Linked DNA regions of Ovis aries. The protein of the gene in region 2 binds, or shares a complex with, the protein of the main gene of each other region. Links are inferred from orthologs where the notes say so. Each region holds a gene or a part of one and is shown on either strand. Other genes may lie near its edges.

Region 1 (4,475 bases), on a different chromosome or scaffold from region 2:
GCTCACCAAGTGGTCAGCAAAGTCTCCTAACTGAACCTCCAGGTCCCAGATTCTCATTGATGGCAGCTGGGAGGCAGCAATGCACAGGGTAGAAAAGGGAAGGGCTTTGGAAGCCACCAGGCCTGCATTCTGGTACAGGCAGGATCTACCACTCAGCAACCGGTTGAGCTTGTTAGGTTACTCGCCCCTAAGAGCCTTGTGGTTTCCCTGTGTGTAAAAGAGGATTAAAACTACCATCGTGGCCAAGAAAATGTACTTCTCAGATCGTGCACAAATGACCAATGGCCCCAGCTGCTGAGCCCTAAAATCTGTCATCTAGTTCTCATCCCCAGCATGGTGTAGAGGCCAGTTTCCTAGTGCTGCTCCCAGCCCATGACTAAATACGAGAAGCCTATTCCTGGGAGGCGCTGGGCTCCTGGGACAGGGTAGCTTGGCTTGAAGACTCCCCCAAGGCCTTGCTGAACTTTCTTAGAGCTTCACTGTAGCATAAGATGCTTCTTTCAACTCAACCTTCCTTCCTCCCCTCTCTCCTTCCTGCACCCCAGGTCTAGCTCCCCAACCATGTTCCCTCATTAATCTCTAGAGCAGTCTCCCCTCCAGATACTTTGGGCGGGGGACCAGGACAAAGAGCCACCAGGCTGCTGCCAGTATTAAATAGATGTGTGAGCACCTAATCAAGGCCTGGAGTATAGTTGATGTTCACTCAACTGATATTTATTGAGTCTCTGCTGAGTGAGGACTTTACCTGGGGTGACTAGAACACATTAGTGAGCAAAGCAGATGAGAACATGAGGGCCCCCTGCTTGAAGCTTCTTGCTGCCCCCAATGCGGAGGGATAAAGTCCCAACTCTCCTACAGGACACAAGAGTCCTTCAAAGTCTGACCCCAAGGGGCTTCCATACCCCTACCCCATACTGCACACCAGAGCCTAGAGTCAAAAAAGACTTTACTCCGGCAATCTCGGGTTTTTCAACCCCAATATCCTTTTTTTTTTTTTAAGTTTTAAAAAGCTTATTCTTAATTATGAAAGCTTAATTATTCTATAGAATAAGTATGTCTATACAAACAATTTTTTCTATAGAAATAATGGAGAGACCTCTAGCATGGTTGATCAATACAATTCTTTTTTTCCACCCCCCGCCCCTCGCCCCCGATATCTTAACACAGCTTTTTCTTCTCCAAAAGCTTCCCCTCTCCTTTGTACACACCCTTCACATGACAAACCCTTACCCATCCCCCTTGACCGGTTCAGTCGTGGGGTGCTAGATCACCAGGGTAGAGGTGCTTGCTGACACAGCTCTCCTCATCCACCTCTGAAAGCACTAGTTACATTGTGCTTTAATTGCTGTAACAGTGTCCCGCTATCTTGTGAGCTCGTGTAGATAGCAGGGGCAGCGTGTATCCATCCTGAATCCCCGGCGCTCGGCGCTTGGTAGCCCGCAGCTCGTATCTTGGGGAGAGAGTAGAGACTGGAGAGCAGGCGATTTTCCCGCGGTAACCACGGGGCCTGCGGCGAGAGGGCGGGGGCGTCGCTGGGCGAGGGTCAGGGAGCCGCCGGGGCTGGGCGGCCCCCGGGACCGGCCGCGGGGCGCTCGGGCCGAATCGCGGCCGCTGCCGCGGGGCACATGACTGCGGGCTCAGCCTCCGCCCCGCCCGCTTCCCCGCGCAGCTGCCGCCTGTCGCCTCCCGGGGTTGCGGCGGGCCGGGCCGGCGAGCGTCTCCGCGCTGCGCGCTCCCTCTGCCTCGCGAGCTGCGCCAGGCGGGCGCCGCGGCGACCGAGGCCGGAGAAAGCGAAACCAAAGCGAGACTCCCTCTCCCCTCCGGCCGGCCGGGTGCAAGCGGGGCCGCTCTCGCCCAGTCGCGGAGCCGGGAGCCGGGCCCCTCTGCTGGGCCGCAGGCGCCCGAGGGTCCCGGGTTTTCCGGCCGCTCCGCCGGCGCCCCTCCGTCTCTCCCTCCTTCCTTCTCCTCCGGTCGCTGGCCTCCCGGCCTTGGAGCGGTGCGCGGAATGGGCAGGTGCTGCTTCTACGCGGTGGGGACGCTGTCCCTGCTGTTGCTGGTGACTAGCATCACGCTGCTGGTGGCCCGAGTCTTCCAGAAGGCCGTGGACCAGACTATCGAGAAGGTGAGGCGTGGCGGGCTGTGTGCTGTGTGTGTGTGTGTGTGTGTGTGTGTGTGTGTGCTGTGTGTGTGTGTGTGTGTGTGTGCTGTGTGTGTGTGTGTGTGTGTGTGTGTGTGTGTGTGTGTACGTGTACGGGCGCGCGCGTGAGCCGGGTTGGGTGGACACTTTCAGCCCACCCTCCCACTGCTGAACCTTGTGCAGGGTGGATCTGCACCCCCTATAACCCTAGTCCAGAGGCTAGGGCCCTCCTTTCTTCCTTGTCTTCTTGGGCTGGGTGGGTAAGAGTTAAGGAAGGCTGGAGAGGAATAATTCTGTTCCTTTTAGAGTAATAAACAAGACTGTGGGTCTAGATTTTGAAAGAAGGCTTTCACTTACATTGTCATTTGTTTTCTGGGCCCTCCCCGCGCCCCAATCTCTGTTGGGCCCAAACTCATTTCCCTCCCACTTTATGAAGAAAAACTAAATGAAAGACACCGCCACCCCGCAGGTGTGTTGGCTGCTTGCCCTGGCCTTTGAAGTGGTGTGAGATGGGGATGAGAGGCTGGTGCCTCGTCTGTTGTGTTCTTGCCTTCCTGGGCTGAGCCCCGCACTTGGTAGCCAGGCCAGGCCTGCGGGCTGGGTGACATTTCAGTTCATCAGAGCCTGTGCTGACTAGCTGACTTAGCAGCTTGGTGTCTTGTACCAGCAGTCTGTGCTGCTTTGTCTCAACATGGATTTCTTGCTCTTCTCAAACAACCCTGCTGCTGCTGCTAAGTCGCAAGAGGACTGGAGTGGGGTGCCATCGCCTTCTCCGCAAACAACCCTAAGCTTAGGCAAAGCTCCATTTAAATTCTTAATCTGAGCCCATCTCTTCCTCTCAGATGAGTGGGCTGGAGAGCTGGTCACTTCAGACCTCTCCATCCTATGATTTCACCAGTGGTCATTTCTCTTGCCCTTTCACCCACATCCACCAATCTGTGTGGAAAGAGGAACCAGAGAGAGTTATTGGGGTCACTTTTTCCTTTTTAAAAAGTTATTGGAGAAGCCTTTCTTGTTAGCACCCATCACTGCCTGATTTCTTCCACTCGTTTACACTTGCTGTTGGCTAGATAATAAAAGCTGGGGCCTCCTCCAGAATTGGTCACTGCGCTCCCAGTTAGCAAAATTGTTTCATTCCAGGTGGCAACAGACCTATTTCTTAAATAGAGGTTTCTAAAAGTCATCAATTACTTGAAATCTGAAGCCACTTAAAAAAAAATGCCCTGGCAAAACATAGTTTAATTTTTTAAAAGTTCACATTGTCAAGGGGTGACAGAACCCACTGTCTGAGCTTCTCAAAGGCTATTGTTCAAAGCGTGTTCAAAGAAAAAACTAAATTGAATCTCTCCACCCTTGTCCACCTGTCCTTGGCAAGGTAGTTTAAGGATGTAACCTCTTTGAGGATGTAACCTCTTGCTTGGATGTCTAGAGTTAAGCAATCCAATGATAGTCAATTGGATTTTCTTGTGTGGCTTTGAAAGGCTGTTTCAGGAGAGGTCTGTGAGATGGGTGACCTCCCCACCCTGTGCCTCAGGCATTGTCAGCCTTCGGATGCTCTGTGGGTCTACATTCATGGGCACTGGGTAGGGAGGTGGTGGGGGTGGAGGGCAGTTGTAAGGCAGCTGGGCTGCGGCTTAAGTTTGCACTGATATTTGGTGATTGGCTTTTAAAGGTGGTTTTCTCCATGAAGAATGGACTCTGATCTGACTGTAAATGAAAGTACAGGAGAAGTGAACTTTCAGAACTGGCTCACTCTGTTAAGGAACACTGCACCATGTGCTGTTTGAAACTAATGACAGGGCTAGGTGTGGACAGGTGTGGAAATATGGTAAGACAACCAGAGGTCACGCGTTACCATCACTACCACTCCGCTTTCCTGGGTCGCCTGTAGGGGGGTAGCATGAGATGGCGGAAAGAGTAAGGACTTCGCAGGTTAATTCGCAGGCAGGAATCCGGCTCCACTGTGTACTAGCTGGGTAACCTTAGGCTAGTACTTAACCTTTCTTAATTCTAGGCTTTTCCATCTGTAAATGAGGATAACAACTATTCATGTAAATAGAAGAATTATAAGAATTACTAGAGAAAATGGGTGTACTTTTCATGGGATACAGTAGTATGTATAGTTATTTGTAGGGCTTCCCTGGTGACTCAGCAGTAAAGAATCCACCTGCAATGCAGGAGACATGGGTTCAATCCCTGGGTGGCAAGATCCCCTGGAGAAAGGAATGGCAACCCACTCCAGTATTCTTGCCTAGGAAATCCCATGGACACAGGAGCCTGGAGGGCTCCAGTTCATGGGGCGTCTAACCACCACCACCACGATAGTTATTTGTAAATG
Region 2 (4,253 bases):
CTGGCCCCAGCCAGGGTACTCTAGGAATCAAAAGTTGGGGCAGGGAAGGCACTCTGTTCCAGAGCTAGTCATCTAGATGCTGGATTTGGGGTCACTAGGGTACTAAGGTCTTCCCAGGTGGCTCAGTGATAAAGAATCTGCCTGCCAAGGAGATACAGGTTCAATCCCTGGGTTGGGAAGATCCCTTGGGGAAGGAAATGGCAACTCACTCCGGTATTCTTGCCTGGGAAATCCCATGGACAGAGGAGCCTGGAGGGCTATAGTCCATGGGGTCGAAAAACAGTCAGACACAACTGAGCATCCAAACAAGGTGCCCACAGGAGTCCTGGTCCTTACCACCTGGGCCCAGCGAGGCAACAGCAAGCGCTGGTCATCCAGCATCAACAGTCGGACGTCGCGGTGTGTACTGTTGGCGAGGATGGGACCCAGGTCACGGGCAATGAAGTCTCGCTGGTGCTCAGGAGTGAAACCCAAGCACTGGAAGGGGTACCCGCTAAGGAGCCCTGCAGTAGGCTCGTTCTCGGCTGTCACTGCCCAGAATCGTAACTTGTGCTCCGCGTAGGCATCCAGGAACCTGGCGAGGGCAAGGGTGTGAGGGATCATGGCCAAGAAAGGGGACCAGGGCCCTGGGGACTAGGAGGTCGGACTGAATGGGGAAAACTGAGGGGCCTAAGCCTGAAGGCCCAGAAGGTAGAAAGGTGAGCTGAGAGCTGGCAGCCGAACAGGTCAAGGGTTGGGACGCAGACCAGGGTGTGTGAAAGGGGAGCCTGGTCCAGGCCCGACGGCCCTGCTGTTTCCTTACTTGACAAAGTATCTGGCCCAGGTCTTGTGGTAGAGATCCCCCGGCTGACCCTTGAGTGTCCCCTTCCCATTCACGGCCCCATTAGTCTTGAGCCAAGTGGGTGATGTCCAGGGACTGGCAAAGAGTGAGACAGAGCGGTTGGCCAACTCCAGAGCTTGGTGAATCAGTGGTATCTGGAAACAAAGGTAGTGAGGAGAGACACCCAGAGCTGGAACATAGACTGGCCCAACTGGTGTATCTGGCCTAGCCATCAGCCTCTACCCTCCCATCCCAAGAGAGGGCAGGGACAAGTTCTATGTCTCTCTGCAAACTGTTCTAGCCTGAGGCCACTCAATCACCAGGCATCAATGCTGCTGGGGCCTGAGGCAGCCAGAGTGCCCACCTTGAGCTTGACATCTTCCTCTGGAAGGCTGAAGTTGAGCAACTGGAAGTCATCAGGGCTGTCGTCATAGGTGTAGGTGCGGATGGAGAAGTCACAGCTGGCCATGGGGACCCGGATGATGTTGTATTCAATTCCTGTAGAAATTCCTGAGTCAGGGCCAAAGGGAACTGGGGTGCAGGGTGAAGGGCAGACTATCTGAGCTGGAGGCCCCCGGCACTCAGCGGATGGATAGGACAATTTTTTTTCCCACCGGGCATTAACAGAGACCCAAATGTCAGGGATGGGTGGATGTCAGGGAGAAAGGAGAGGTCAAAGAGCCAACTGCACTATGTCATCCTGTCCCTTCCTCCTCACCTTCTTCGGAGAAGTATGATTTGAGCAGCAAATTCCGTGCAGCAGGTGACAGGGCAAGGATGTTGAGAGAAGCAGCATCCGTCATGGCCCCTCCAAACCCCTTCACTTTCTGGAATTTCTGATCTGGCTGCAAGGTCAACAGCAACCCTGGGGACATCCACAGGGAATAAAAGGCGTCAGTGCACAGGGGAGAAACTCCACGCTGATCGCTGGCATGACTGGGCTCCAGAAGGACCATAACCTGGGTGAGAGCTGGTTACCTGTGCCTGTGCGATTGGCCTGGACGGTCCCCAGACTCAGCTCCATTCGGCGCCCGCTGCGAGTGCTCTCAAAGCGGCTGAAGGTGCCAGGGTCAGGCAGGGTCAGGGGGTCCAGAGAATCACAGTATGTGGCATTGCAGACACACACCACCGAGCTGTAGCCAAAGCTTTTAGGGATGCAGGGGCGGGCACCTGGCAGGGAGGGTGCACAAGAGAGGCAAGGGCTGAGGGATGAAGATGGGGAGAAGGGACCCACTAGCTGAAAAGAAAGACAAAATACTGGTTTCAAAAATTCCTGGGCCTCCCTGGCAGTCCAATGGCTAAGAGTCTGAGCTCCCAATGCAAGGGGCAGGGGTTTGATCCCTGGTCAGGAAACTAGATCCCACATGCTACAACAAAGACCCAACTCACACAAATAAATAATAAGTAAATGGTTTTAAAAATTATCCTGCTGTACCTCCACCCCACTGTTGCTCTCAGTCACGCAAAAGGATTTACTGAGCATCTACTTAAGTCCACCACCAGTATGCCAGAGACTGCCAAAGGCCATATGGCAGAAGGGGGGCCTTGGGGCTCCTTCCCTTCTCTCTGACTCACTTACCTGATACCCACGACACTGTATGAAGTAGAAGTAATCCCATGAGGCTGGCAGCCATGATTTCTACTCTGCCCCGAGGCACAGGATAATCCTGAGAACACAATGAGGAGTGAAGGCAAGCCCCTCTCCACCTCTCATCTACTCTCCTAGGCAGGGCTCGACTGCCTAGTCTCCCACCTTTAACAGAATGGAACAAAGTCCACAGACACCTGAGTTCAGCCCTCCCTCCAAGCTCTCGGCTAGTAATAGCTCTCTGCCCACCCCAAGCAGGACCCTCCTGCACCCCTCTTCCCAACCACTTCCCCTTCGATCCCACCTTCCCTCCATCAAAAAGGCATGATGACCTGCTTCAAGGAGAGCCCGTCATTCATTGAATTCCAGAGCCGGGTTAGCCAGAATTCCAGAAAGTGCATGACACCACCAATTAGAAGCCTTGTCCCCACTTACCTCTCTGGAAGGACTTGAAAGCTCCATCACCAGGCAAGAAGACGTTGGGGTTCCCAAACTTCTGAGGGATAGAGGATCAACTAAATAAAAACAGGGATGCAGGGGCCTGTGATAGCTATACAGGCCAGATTAGCCCTGCGGGTTAATTCCGGCATAATGGAACAAGTCACGTGAAACCATGGGAGTGTCACATGACCCAGGAAGTGAGGCAACTGCAACCATACTTGTAAAGGGCAACCGACTGGCTTCCTGAGGGCTTATACATCCTATGAAATTCTAGAAGGCATGTATGGATGACAGCTTTAGGAAGAATCTAGATGAAAGATCTTAATGAAGGATTGGGTAGAGGTTCCCGAATCCCAAAGGATGGGAGCCACAGCAGGCACACTGCCTTCTTAAGGAAAATATTTTAAAGATATGCTGATAATGGTTAATACTAATAAAAGAGGATCATGGTACAAAAATACTGAGGCCAAAATCCTGAGTGATGATTAAGCAATCTTTGCACTATAGAGGCTCATAAGCAGGGGAATCAGACACACAGATGCTTATAGATAAGGACAAAATTGGTAACAGCTGTGCACAGAGACCCTTCCTACAGGGCTTCATGGAGAAGGGGTGAGGGATAAGGAGTATTAACTAGAGAAGTGCAGGGAGGATGGGCCCTGGGCAGGGGGCCGGTGCCTCCCCAGGCCTCTCTTGTTTCATCAGCAGATACAGATGAGAAGGAATTGTTTTTCCTTTCTCACAGGACAGAGAGGTTGTGTAGAGCAGTTCAGAAACTGCAAAGTGTGGTACAAAGCTGTATCCTCAGTGGATGTGAGAAGGAGCTTGTATTGCCTCATGGGCCACATCACAGATTTAGTGGGAGTGACATACACATTCAAGACCTGGCTGACTCTAGCTCCCTGAGCCTATTTCCTCATCAGTTAAATTTCCCCATCTGTTAAATGCCACCATCTCACAAGGTCATTACTACAATCAGTAAGATAAGCACAGTGCCTGGTACACAGTAGACCCTCGGGAACCACTTGTTTGTCTTTTTTTTTTTTTTTAAATTATCTCAGTGAAGTGTTTCCAAATAAACTCCAGGGGAAATTGACCATTTCTTCTTCTAGGCTCCCATAACCCTAGAGGAGCTATGGTCTCGGTGAGAGGAGCTTGGTTTGAATCTTGGCTCCACTATTTACTGGCTGTTTGACCATCAATAAACTGGAAGGACTGATGCTGAAGCTGAAGCTCCAATACTCTGGGCACCTGATGTGAGCAGCCAACTCACTGAAAAAGACCCTCATGCTGGTAAAGGCTGAAGGCAAAAGGAGAAGAGGACAGCAGAGGATGAGATGGTTGGATGGCATCACCGATTCAATGGACATGAGCTTGGGTGAACTCTGGGAGATGGTGAGGGAC

Evidence for each region.
Region 1: the proteins of GBA1 (region 2) and SCARB2 are in contact, whole or in part, in a cryo-EM structure (PDB 9FJF), measured with the Homo sapiens proteins. The link is inferred for Ovis aries from reciprocal best matches to the Homo sapiens genes GBA1 and SCARB2. Residues at the interface, in NP_000148.2 of Homo sapiens: Leu130, Asn131, Ala134, Ile169, Glu190, Lys194, Leu195, Pro430, Arg434, Ile445, Thr446, Asp448; in NP_005497.1 of Homo sapiens: Lys161, Ala162, Tyr163, Gln164, Lys181, Glu183, Leu187, Phe191, Arg192.

Annotation. Positions count from the first base shown.
Region 1 is NC_056059.1:91,865,677-91,870,151, reverse strand, and holds the start of SCARB2 (lysosome membrane protein 2), read left to right. Parts: upstream 1-1,665; 5' UTR 1,666-2,005; coding exon 2,006-2,122; intron 2,123-4,475.
Region 2 is NC_056054.1:105,405,931-105,410,183, forward strand, and holds the start of GBA1 (lysosomal acid glucosylceramidase), read right to left. Parts: upstream 3,014-4,253; 5' UTR 2,871-3,013; coding exon 2,844-2,870; intron 2,488-2,843; coding exon 2,400-2,487; intron 1,991-2,399; coding exon 1,799-1,990; intron 1,686-1,798; coding exon 1,539-1,685; intron 1,319-1,538; coding exon 1,185-1,318; intron 976-1,184; coding exon 803-975; intron 575-802; coding exon 337-574; intron 1-336. UniProt on the Homo sapiens protein: Glucosylceramidase that catalyzes, within the lysosomal compartment, the hydrolysis of glucosylceramides/GlcCers (such as beta-D-glucosyl-(1<->1')-N-acylsphing-4-enine) into free ceramides (such as N-acylsphing-4-enine) and glucose.